3 linked regions of the Macaca mulatta genome follow. The protein of the gene in region 3 binds, or shares a complex with, the protein of the main gene of each other region. Links are inferred from orthologs where the notes say so. Each region holds a gene or a part of one and is shown on either strand. Other genes may lie near its edges. The genes, in order: UBE2J1, OS9 and HERPUD1.

What was found.
Region 1: HERPUD1 (region 3) and UBE2J1 share a complex: the UniProt entries of both Homo sapiens proteins name them as parts of the HRD1 complex. The link is inferred for Macaca mulatta from reciprocal best matches to the Homo sapiens genes HERPUD1 and UBE2J1.
Region 2: HERPUD1 (region 3) and OS9 share a complex: the UniProt entries of both Homo sapiens proteins name them as parts of the HRD1 complex. The link is inferred for Macaca mulatta from reciprocal best matches to the Homo sapiens genes HERPUD1 and OS9.

Annotation. Positions count from the first base shown.
Region 1 is NC_133409.1:96,637,123-96,641,471, forward strand, and holds the start of UBE2J1 (ubiquitin-conjugating enzyme E2 J1), read left to right. Parts: upstream 1-1,439; 5' UTR 1,440-1,756; coding exon 1,757-1,787; intron 1,788-4,349. UniProt on the Homo sapiens protein: Catalyzes the covalent attachment of ubiquitin to other proteins. Functions in the selective degradation of misfolded membrane proteins from the endoplasmic reticulum (ERAD) and is essential for cells to recover from ER stress.
Region 2 is NC_133416.1:64,898,563-64,901,544, forward strand, and holds the end of OS9 (protein OS-9 precursor), read left to right. Parts: coding exon 1-6; intron 7-919; coding exon 920-1,084; intron 1,085-1,226; coding exon 1,227-1,339; intron 1,340-1,619; coding exon 1,620-1,745; 3' UTR 1,746-2,394; downstream 2,395-2,982. UniProt on the Homo sapiens protein: Lectin component of the HRD1 complex, which functions in endoplasmic reticulum (ER) quality control and ER-associated degradation (ERAD).
Region 3 is NC_133425.1:52,538,868-52,542,516, forward strand, and holds part of HERPUD1 (homocysteine-responsive endoplasmic reticulum-resident ubiquitin-like domain member 1 protein), read left to right. Parts: intron 1-899; coding exon 900-1,022; intron 1,023-1,562; coding exon 1,563-1,913; exon of another isoform or gene 1,914-2,021; intron 2,022-2,620; exon of another isoform or gene 2,621-3,649. UniProt on the Homo sapiens protein: Component of the endoplasmic reticulum quality control (ERQC) system also called ER-associated degradation (ERAD) involved in ubiquitin-dependent degradation of misfolded endoplasmic reticulum proteins.

The sequences.
Region 1 (4,349 bases), on a different chromosome or scaffold from region 3:
GCTGTGGTAGGGCCTATTGCACAAATTAGGGGTTTTTGTAGAGCTGTGGCAGGAGAGGGTGTCAAGTGTTAGATATATCTGAAGATTCAACACAATGAATGAATGAAACAGCATTGGAGTTTGGTTTTGTTTGCATGTCTCAGCCAATCAGATTATCAGTTTACTATACAGAAAACAACCTCAGGGAATGGTTTAAAAGATACCATCTAATTTTAGATACCCTTCACTTTTTTCCTCCCAATTTCACCAAGAAATTCAGATTTATATTAACAATAGAAAACAAATCAAATTTAAGAGTTTTATATCTTTATATAACAGAATAAAACTTGCCCAACCTGATTAACCCTTTCTATCCGGCCCACCTTCCCAATCCCTCCCTCCTTTCCTTTCCTAAGGTAGGTTCCTACTCCTTGAGACTTTTGAACTCAGTCCTCTCTCTCGATCCCACACATTGGACAATGAAGCAGGAAGTGTGTCCTTTGAAGTTTAACCTTTCATATTTGTATGCTTTCCCTCAAATTCAATGTAATTCCTTTTTTTTTTTTTTGACAGCTTTTACATCTAAACAAACCAAAAAACCCAAAACTCCTGCAATGCCTAAAACAGCGTCTTGCACCTAACACACTACCCAAGAAAAAAAACTATTATGAATATCCAACTCCAGCCAGAGCCGTGACTCACGCCTGTAATCCCAGCACTTTGGGAGGCCGAGGCGGGCGGATCACTTGAGTCCAGGAGTTCGAGACCAGCCGGGCCAACACGACGAAACCCTGTCTCTATCAAAAATACAAAAAATTAACCGGGCGTGATGGCACACACCTGCGGTCCCAGCCACGCTGGAGGCTGAGGTGGGAGGATCGCCTGGGCCCAGGAGGTAGAGGCTGCAGTGAGCCAAGATCGCGCCACTGCACCCCAGCCTGGGCGACAGAGCGGTGACACCGTCTCAAAAAAAAAAAAAAAAATTCCTATTCCATTCCCTTATCACTGGCTTTCCCCCTCCTCACTTAACTCCCGCCCCCCGCAACAGGGACTGGATCTAAAAACAAAGCCCTTCCCAGACCCCGCGGGACCGCGCGCGGGCAGCCGGATGCGGACAGCTTTGCAGCCGGAGCCCGGCGCCCTCTCTGAGCTCTCCAGGGCCCGGGGATCCCAGACTTCGCCTACAGCGGGTAGGGCCGGAGCCGCTTCGCGCCGCGCGGTTCCTCGGTGAAACCCGCCAGCGCCTGGGGACGGACCCCAGAGGGTCCGGCGGAAGGCCGGTTTCCGGGGGCCGGAACGAGAGGACTAGGACGCCGCTCGCTCCTGCAGCTCCCCAAGCCGGCTTCGCGGGGCCGGCGGCGGCTGGGTAGGGACCGACCGCCACGAAGCTACTGCCACGTCAGGGCAACTTCACAAATCCCGGACGAGGGCGGGTGACGCAAGCCGGGCGGCCGCGACGGGGCTGGGCCTGCGGCTACCGGAGGAGGCTGACCTCCAGCCCGGGCGCCGGGTTCAGCGACGCCCCGGCCGGCGCCGGTGCCTGCCAGGCACTCAGGGAGGCGGGGGCGCAGCGGAGGAGGCGGCGCCATCGCGAAGCCAGCGCCTCGCCAGCACTCAGCCTTGCCACCCGCCCGCAGTCCGGGCTGGACTGGGCGGCATTTGCCAAGGCTCCTCGGCCAGGCCCCGTCCGCCCGAGCCGCGCTGAGACCTGGGCAGCGGCCGCGTGGAGAGGAGGTGGCAGCTGCCCGGGAGGCCGGAGCCAGGCCAGCGACCCGCCATGGAGACCCGCTACAACCTGAAGAGTCCGGGTGAGCAGGGCTGGGGCCCCTGGGCTAGGAGTGCGGAGTGACCCTGGACCCCGGGGCGGTCGCCGCGGTCCCCTCACGTCTGGCGCCACTCGCGGCTCAGCTCCTGGTTTCGCGCTCTACGCGAGACCGCCGCCTGCCCGGGAAGTGCAGGCCGCAGGGCGGGGTGGCCGGGTGGACGCCCGCTGCCAATCCCCCGGCCGGCCAGCGCCCGCAGCACCCAGCCTCCCCCTTTTCTCGTCTTCGCCCGGTCCCGTAGAGCTGGGTCAGAAACTCATCCCTGAGAACAGGTGTAAAGGTGATGTGGGTGGGCGATAGTCAGCAACCCCCTCGCTGTACCTGCATCCTGAACACCGTCGTTAATTCCCTCCCCGTCGCTGTCAGTGGACTATTAGCCTGCTGATTTACTCACATTTGAGGAGTTAGTCGTTTAAACATCCTATTTGCAGCACTTGGGCGAATGCAATTACAGACATAAAGGAAGTGTTCTGTAACTAAACCAGTTAACTGTAGAGCTAAAGCAAAACAAAACAAAAACAAAACAACAACAACAAAAAACACCTAGTTGAGCCCTGTTCTTGAGAGCTAACCTTGATTTTTGCCAGACTGGCTAATATGAAACATATCTGTCTTCAGTCGTAGGATTCCTTTCCTGCATTTAATGATCCTGCTTTATTTACACAAGCAGTCCCAGCAATACTAACCTTTACTTTCTGGTGCATTATAAAGATAAGCAACTAGCTTTCTCAGCTTAATGAAACAGGCTTGAAATAAATCATTGGATCCTCTAAATGGTATTTTTTCTATCTGTACCTTGATACATTTTGTCAGGGGGAAGAAACTCTACAGTTAACTCTGCATGATAAACTCTAGGGTATTAGTGATTTCACTAACTTTTGCGTTGCTTAACATTTCCTTCCAAAAAAAGCTGTTTCTCAGTAGGAATTAGCAAGACTAGCATCCTTATGGAAAGAGTTGACATTGTGAATCTTTGGGTTTTTTGTATGGTTTCAGAATATGCAAAAACCCCAGAAAAGCCTGAGGATATTGATTGGAGGGAGCTTTGTTAACCTGAGTGCTGTCAAGCTCAGAAATGTCCTTAGGTGACCAAGTGTGTAGAATTGGTCATAATATTTTAGGGGCCACTGACTCCTCAAAAAAATCTGATGAAGACCTGGCACGGTGGCACATGCCTGTAATCCCAGCACTTTGGGAGGCCTGAGCCCAGGAGGTGGAGAGCAGCCTGGCCAACATGGCGAAAGCCCGTCTCTACTAAAAACACAAAAATTAGCCGGGCATGGTGTTGGCGCACTTCTGTAGTTCCAGCCACTCGGGAGGCTGAGGCAGGAGGATGGCTTGACCCGTGGAGGCTGAGGTTGCAGTGAGCCAATATCGCGCCACTGCACTCCAGTGTGGGCAACAGAGCGAGACTCCATCTAAAAAAACAAAAACAAAAACAAAAAACAAAAAGAACCCCGGGGTGGGGAGGGAGGAAGAAAAGACCAAAGAGAAAGAGGGAAAGAAAAGCTTAATTTTTAAGGTAGATGGTAAAATGATTGAATTCTTTACATTGTGGTAGATTTAACTAGAACTGTTTGGGTAAAAATGTATGATGGCTTCCTGGTCACATGGTTCCTTAGGACAGCAGAGGTGCTCAGTGAAAGGTCCAGAGAATAATGCACATGTGAGTAGTAGTGCAGTTTGGAATGGAGAACTGGTGGAACCCAAGAGATTGTTGTCAGAAAACATCGCTCAATTTTGATAGGTTAGACGTAATACTATGATGATGTTTTTAAAATTCTTCAGAATTTTGTACATTTCCAAAGTATGTCAACTATTGTCAGCTGGTTGAGCTTTGGTTGACATGCTTCTAACTGTGTCATAAATTGCTTCCTTTTTTTGGTTTCATTTCCTCAAAGATAGTGTTGCGGTTCTAAAAAAAAAAACAGTGCTTCTTAAAAATCTATTTTTGTTAATGTGTGAATTATTTGGAGTTCATGGAGAAGTTGAATTAGGTGAGATATGGGACTTACTGAAAATGCTGGGAGGCATCGTGAAAATACTTCCTTCCTTTGCTTTATTCTCAGTCCTGTGTTATTTTTAGAGTAATGCCTGTGTGAAGGGGAGCAACTGAAAACTCCAGTTTCCTGCGTACGGCAGGGTGCACACACACGTAAAACACCAACCAACCAGACAAACAAAAAACAACCACACAACGGGAGAGACATAATCTTTTACTCTTTATCTGATGTGGGATTGTCTTTGATGTATGAGTGGAAAGATGAAGTGAAGACAATACAGATAGTTGGTTAAGGGCCAGTGTAGTAGCATGTGGATATAGTAAATTTGTTCATTTCATAGGTGGGGAAACTTTTTCCTTTATGGTGTTTTTTGGAATGGACTTGTGATTGTGGGTAGAGCTGTTGTGTAGGATCACCTCAAAGCCTCTGACTAACCTGTCAGTAGTTGTCTATGGATCAATTTACTTGACCCATGTTTGGGTCCGCTCTGGCCAAGGAAGTAGAGTCCTATAGTACAAAGTGAGTAGATGTGTATATAGCACCT
Region 2 (2,982 bases), on a different chromosome or scaffold from region 3:
CTACAGGTGAGAGCAGTCAGACAAGAAGGAGTAGCCCAGTCCGTTGTTTTCATCCCTCAGCTGGTCCTATTCCCAGAGGGGACCCTGTTCCTTCCCTTCTGAGGGTGCTTATTCTCTCCCCGGTTTCTGGAACACTGTCCTCACTTGCACCTGCTTCCCATCACCATCATCCCTTTGCGTGCTTACCTCCTATTCATCCCTCTGGGAAGCAGCTTTTAGAGCATGTCTGCCTGTTTTCTGGTTTGCTCCTGTACACCCAGTACCTAGCACTCTGCCTGGCACACAATGGATGATCAGTAGGTAGTAATTGAATGCTTGCGAGTCTATATGTGAAAACCACACATCTATGAAGGATGCAACCTGTCAACATTTAGGACTTTGCACCAAGAGAGTCCCCAGCTGTCAGGGCATGAATAGGAGAGCCCAGCCGCACATGAGCCAATAGCCTGGATAGACTTTAAATTATGTCTTCTTCTTGCATCCCCTTGTGTCCATTTCATAGGGTCCTATGGGTGTGGACATCAGATGTTCCAAATGAAATGTTCCAGTTTCAAACCCTCCATCCCATTCTCCCTATAAACATTGAAATGTCTTTAAAGTCCTAACATATGGAGGAGGAGACCACACTTTTCCAACCTGCTTCTTCAGACAAAACTTTGTTGGTGCAGGTGGCCTGCTTTTGGCTTCAGAAAACATTTGTTTTCCTATAGGTGATGGGCAGAATTATTGGGTAGGGTGGGAAGACGGAAGGCAGCAATTGGTGGAGGGAGCTCTATAGGCTGAATTGGGAGTGGGGGCACACATTTTTTTGAGCCCTGGCTCATACACATGTTGAGATGGAATAGCTGCCAAAGCTGCCACCCCTAACCCTGGAGTCATGCCTCTGCTTTGTGTTTCCCTGTGTGTCTCCCCCTCTAAGAGGAGGATCCTGAGCACAGAGTCCGGGTCCGGGTCACCAAGCTCCGTCTCGGAGGCCCTAATCAGGATCTGACTGTCCTCGAGATGAAACGGGAAAACCCACAGCTGAAACAAATCGAGGGGCTGGTGAAGGAGCTGCTGGAGAGGGAGGGACTCACAGCTGCAGGTGGGCCCTGGAGGGCGGCTGGACCCAGCACTGTCGGAAGGGCAAGCTGCCGGAAGTGGAGGGGCTGGGACCAGTGGGGCAGGGGGCCTGCCCTGAGGCTCCCAGCCATCCTCTCCTCTCACTGCATACTGCTCCTTTCCAGGGAAAATTGAGATCAAAATTGTCCGCCCATGGGCTGAAGGAACTGAAGAGGGTGCACGTTGGTTGACTGATGAGGACACAAGAAACCTCAAGGAGATCTTCTTCAATATCTTGGTGAGAGGCTTCTACCCCCAAGTCCTGGCCCCCAGGCCTCCTGTCCCCAGCCCGCCTGGAGTGGAGGTGTGGGCCTGCCCCAGCCATGCCGTTGCTGAGCTTCCGTTTCCTGATCTGTAAGACAAGGCTAGGGTTCCAGTGATTCAGAGTGCTGCCATGCAGGAAGAGCCTCTCAGGACATGGGTGTCCTCATTCCCTGCCTTCCCCCAGCTGCCTGGCCCAGGACTTCCTTGGGCTCAACAGCGAGTAGCTCCAGCCCACCTCTACCCTCTCCCACCAGGTGCCGGGAGCTGAAGAGGCCCAGAAGGAACGCCAGCGGCAGAAAGAGCTGGAGAGCAATTACCGCCGGGTGTGGGGCTCTCAAGGTGGGGAGGGCACAGGGGACCTGGACGAATTTGACTTCTGAGACCAACACTGCACTTGACCCTTCATAGAATCCAGAGTCTTCCTGGACTGGCCTGCCTCCTCCCCACCTCCCCACCCTGGGACCCCTGAGGGCCAAACAGCAGAGTGGAGCTGAGCTGTGGACCTCTCGGGCAATTCTGTGGGTGTGGGGGCCCTGGGTGAATGCTGCCACCCCAGCTGGCAGCCACCTTGAGAGCTCACCCGGCCTGTGATGTTTGCTCTCCTGAGCTTTCGCTCAATCCTCTTCCTCTTCCTCTGTGGCTTTTCTTGTTATTGTACTCTAATGATAGGATATTCCCTGCTCCCTACCTGGAGATTCGGTAGGATCTTCTGAGTGGAGGTGGGTAGAGAGAGCAAGGAGGGCAGGACACTTAGCAGGCACTGAGCAAGCAGGCCTCCACCTGCCCTTAGTGCTGTTTGGAGTTGCTTTACCCCCTTCTCTTGAATTGCCTTGAGATGTCCTTCTCCCTTTCCCTGCCCACCCTGTCCCCTACAATTTGTGCTTCTGAGTTGAGGAGCCTTCACCTCTGTTGCTGAGGAAATGGGAGAATGCTGCCCATCACCTCCAGCACAATCCCAGTGAAAAAGCTGTGAAGCATCCACCATGTTCTTGAACAATCAGGTTTCTAAATAAAGAACTGGACCATCAATCTGTCAACCTTTTTTGTGGGGTGGGGGTTCCAGCAGGGAGGAGGCTCAGTGTTCTTTTCAGATCATGCTCTGATCCTGTTCTTTGCTCCCCACTCCCCAGGTACTATAAACGGGGGCTGGGGTATGCAGGAAGAGACCAGAGTGGCTAAATGAAGCCTGGCCTGGCAAGGATTGAAAGAAACACTTGCAGTACCGTCATCTTCTTTTTCTCATCTGTCTGTTTCTGTTCCTTCCCTTCTCTTGCACCAAGTCTTTCCCTATCATTTCCCCCTTTATACCCTGAAAGCCAAAATGCACACCATGGAGTTCCCCACAGCAGGGATCTTCCTTCTGCTGCGGTCTCGCCCACAGCATGCTCCAGATTCCATTTGTCACCCACACCCCTACCCACCTGTCCTTTCAACATTTCCCAAAAAGACCTCCACCTTTGGGCATGCCCAGAGAGAGGGCTGCTGCCCACACATGCCAGTTTCTTAGTGTGCCAAGGGTATGTGGGCCTGGTGTCTCCCTTTCTTCTTCACTACCAAGTGCAAGCATGGGTCCCCCAACATGCCTCCTCCCAGTGTGGAGGACTCTTGATTTTTTTT
Region 3 (3,649 bases):
AACTTGATTTCCTTTAACAAATACTTATTGAACAGCCAGTACATATAACTGTGCTTAAGGATATGAGTTGACCTGCAGGAATGACCACATAACCAATTTCTGATCTTCGGGCAATTCTATTATGCTTTCAATTTTGTGATGTGCTACTGAAGAAATACACTGTGTAAGAAGCACAAAGCCAAAGATAACCCACATACACCTGCCCTATGAAGTTGAGGGCTGTGTGGCCTGATTGAAGAAGCGTGCATTTGACATCAGACCAGCTCTGAAATCCAGCCTTGCTACTTAACTAGCTCAGTGACCTTGTGTAAAGCCCCTGTCTTCCCTGAGCTGTACTTGGGTTCCCCTTGTAAAATCTCCTTCGTGAGATTGCTGTGGATGCAGCAGCCTGTACAGGACCCCAGGTAGTCAGTAAGCATGCGCAGGTGATGCCACATGCACACATCACTATAGATACAGATGGAGGGTGGAGGAAGAAGTGTGGATATCAGGAGGATGGGAGAGATTTCCTTCAGGAAAGACTGGGAGAAATATGACTTTTGAGCTGCCCTCTAAAAGATAAACAGTGGGTTGAGACTTGCAGTGAGACTCAACAAGTCAAAACTGAGCAGGGATCTATCTACTTAACCCCAAAAGGTTGTTTATACATGCACTCAGCAAGTAGGTGGCAAGGGCTGTTGTTTTCCTGTGGGATAGGACTGTGGTAGAAGTGCTGTGTCATTTAGTACCTTCCGTGCTTATGGTACATGGGTGCATCATACAGTCATTTACCATGTAACTGCCATAAATCCCATTCTTCTGTCTCTTCCATTTGAATTCTAGATTTTAATTTAAACTTAGTTTTCATTTGCTCATACTCAACCCACTCAAAATGAGTGTTTTTTTAAATCTGTGTATAGGCCTGAAGCTGCCCAGCAGGCATTCCAAGGCCTGGGTCCTGGTTTCTCCGGTTACACACCCTATGGGTGGCTTCAGCTTTCCTGGTTCCAGCAGATATATGCACGACAGTACTACATGCAATAGTGAGTCCTTCCCGCTGTGCTGGGTGTGGCCAGGGCTCCCGGGAATTGAGAGGAATTTTATCCATGTTACCTGTAAAGTTCAGAATGGAGGGATGAATGTATTTTCATCAGTCTGCAGAGCCCTGCTCTGTTTGGTCTGTGGGTGGAGTAGAGTGTAAATGACAGCTGTTACCTGATTTGTATATTGACACAAGGGTGTTTTTGTCTGATACACAGTTTAGTGACTTTATTTAGAACATGTTACTTTCTTTTCAATTTGTGGTACCTTCAAAGTTTTGTGAAGATTTTAATTTGCTACTGTGCCATAATCTTACAGTGGCCTTGATGTTTAATTCCAGGTGAAATTCACCACGTGGCTTCTCTTAGAAAAGGCATTTATAGATATAGTTAGTAAGGAAGTTCTTCACTAAATTGAAGGAAAATCAAATGCATATCTACCTACTTCAAATTCTTAACAGTAAAAGACTGCTGTGTAAATAAGCCACAGCCTTCACGGTGCTTTGGTCTCAACAGTATCTGCCTCTGTCATTTTTATTTTAGTTTAGCAGCCACTGCTGCATCGGGGGCTTTTGTTCCACCACCAAGTGCACAAGAGATACCTGTGGTCTCTGCACCTGCTCCAGCCCCTATTCACAACCAGTTTCCAGCTGAAAACCAGCCAGCCAATCAGAATGCTGCTCCTCAAGTGGTTGTTAATCCTGGAGCCAATCAAAATTTGCGGATGAATGCACAAGGTGGCCCTATTGTGGAAGAAGATGATGAAATAAATCGAGATTGGTTGGATTGGACCTATTCAGCAGCTACATTTTCTGTTTTTCTCAGTATCCTCTACTTCTACTCCTCCCTGAGCAGATTCCTCATGGTCATGGGGGCCACCGTTGTTATGTACCTGTAAGCAGATGGTTTCTCTAATACAAATTACGCTACATTGTGTTCACACTAAGCAGATTTTGCTCTTTTTTGTTTTTTGTGTTTTTTTTTTTTTTTTTTTGAGACAGAGTCTCGCTCTGTCACTCAGGCCAGAGTATAATGGCACGATCACTGCAACCTCCGCTTCTCGGGTTCAAGCGATTCTCTTGCCTCAGCCTCCTGGGTAGTTGGTATTACAGGCACCTGCCACCACGCCTGGCTAATTTTTGTATTTCTAGTAGAGACGGGGTTTTGCCATATTGGCCAGGCTGGTCTCGAACTCCTGACCTCAAGTGATCCGCCCACCTTGGCCTCCCAAAGTGCTGGTTTTACAGGCGTGAGCCACTGCGCCTGGCCAGATTTGCTCTTTTTTGAGCAATCTCAGTTACTATAGAAGGAGGTGTGTTTAAATAGTATATCATTCTGTGGCTGGGCGCAGTGGCTCACGCCTGTGATCCCAGCACTTTGGGAGGCCGAGGCAGGAGGATCACATGAAGCCAAGAGTTCAAGACCATCCTGGCCAATATGGTGAAACCCTGTCTCTACTAAAAATACAAAAAATTAGCCGGGTATGGTGGCGCGGGCCTGTGATTTACTTGGGTAGCTGAGGCAGGAGAATTGCTTGAACTGAGGAGGCAGAGGTTGCAGTGAGCCAAGATTGCACCACTGTGCTCCAGCCTGGGTGACAGAGCAAGACCCTGTCTTAGAATAAATATATAATAAATAGTATATCATTATGGCACTTTCAGTACAAGGAATTCATGCCTTGGTTGGTTGTATGGTCCCAAGAACATATCAATCCTGTATTAATACAAGAATATTCTCTTGTCCTCTAGATAAGCTACCTTACCTTCCAGGCTCACAAACCAGAATTATGTAGCCATACTGAGGCATGGAACAGCAAATTGTATTTGTTTTGAATGAGAACATATTTGCCTTTATCAGGCCACAGCTGCCTTCCAGGGTAAAGGTCAGGCACTGACTGTTAGCATAGCCCTGAAAGGCAAGGGAATCTTCACATACCTGACATTTGGTTTTAGCTGTGGCCTGGAGCAGTACTCACCTGGGGGTGGTTTTGTACTCTCTCTCCCCAGGGGACATTTGGCAATGTGTAGGTATTTTTGTTTGTCACATCTAGGGGAAGTGGTCCTGCTAGCATCTGGTTAGTAGAAGCAAGAGTGCTGCTGAATTTTCTACAATGCACAGGACAACTCCCACAGTAAATATTTGGCTCAATATGTCACTAGTGCGAAAGCTGAGAAAGCCTGGCCTAGAGTGATGAGTCTTCATGGTTGAAACTAAAAGAAGAAATTTTCCTTTATAGTAAAAATGGATTTTTATTTTAGCTTTTAAAAATAAAAAATAATTAGAATATAATGAACACTCAAATATCCACAATTAATCATTGCTAATATTTTGTTATATTTGTTTTAAGACTTGGGATTTAATTGGTTTCTTCAAATCAAACATTTAGTTAATATTTTCTATAGTCTCTAGAATCATATATTTAAATGACCAAATGTAGGTTGTCATTATGTTATATATAATGATAGTTTTGTAGGTATATGCTTTCTCCCCACTTTGTGCAGGTTTTCAAGGGCAAGGTTTAGTTCATATAAATAAGCATTTATTGAGTGCATACCATGTGCTAGGTGCTATTTATATTGCTGGGTGTGCAATGATGAATAAAACACAGTCACTCCCTTCAGTGGTCAAAC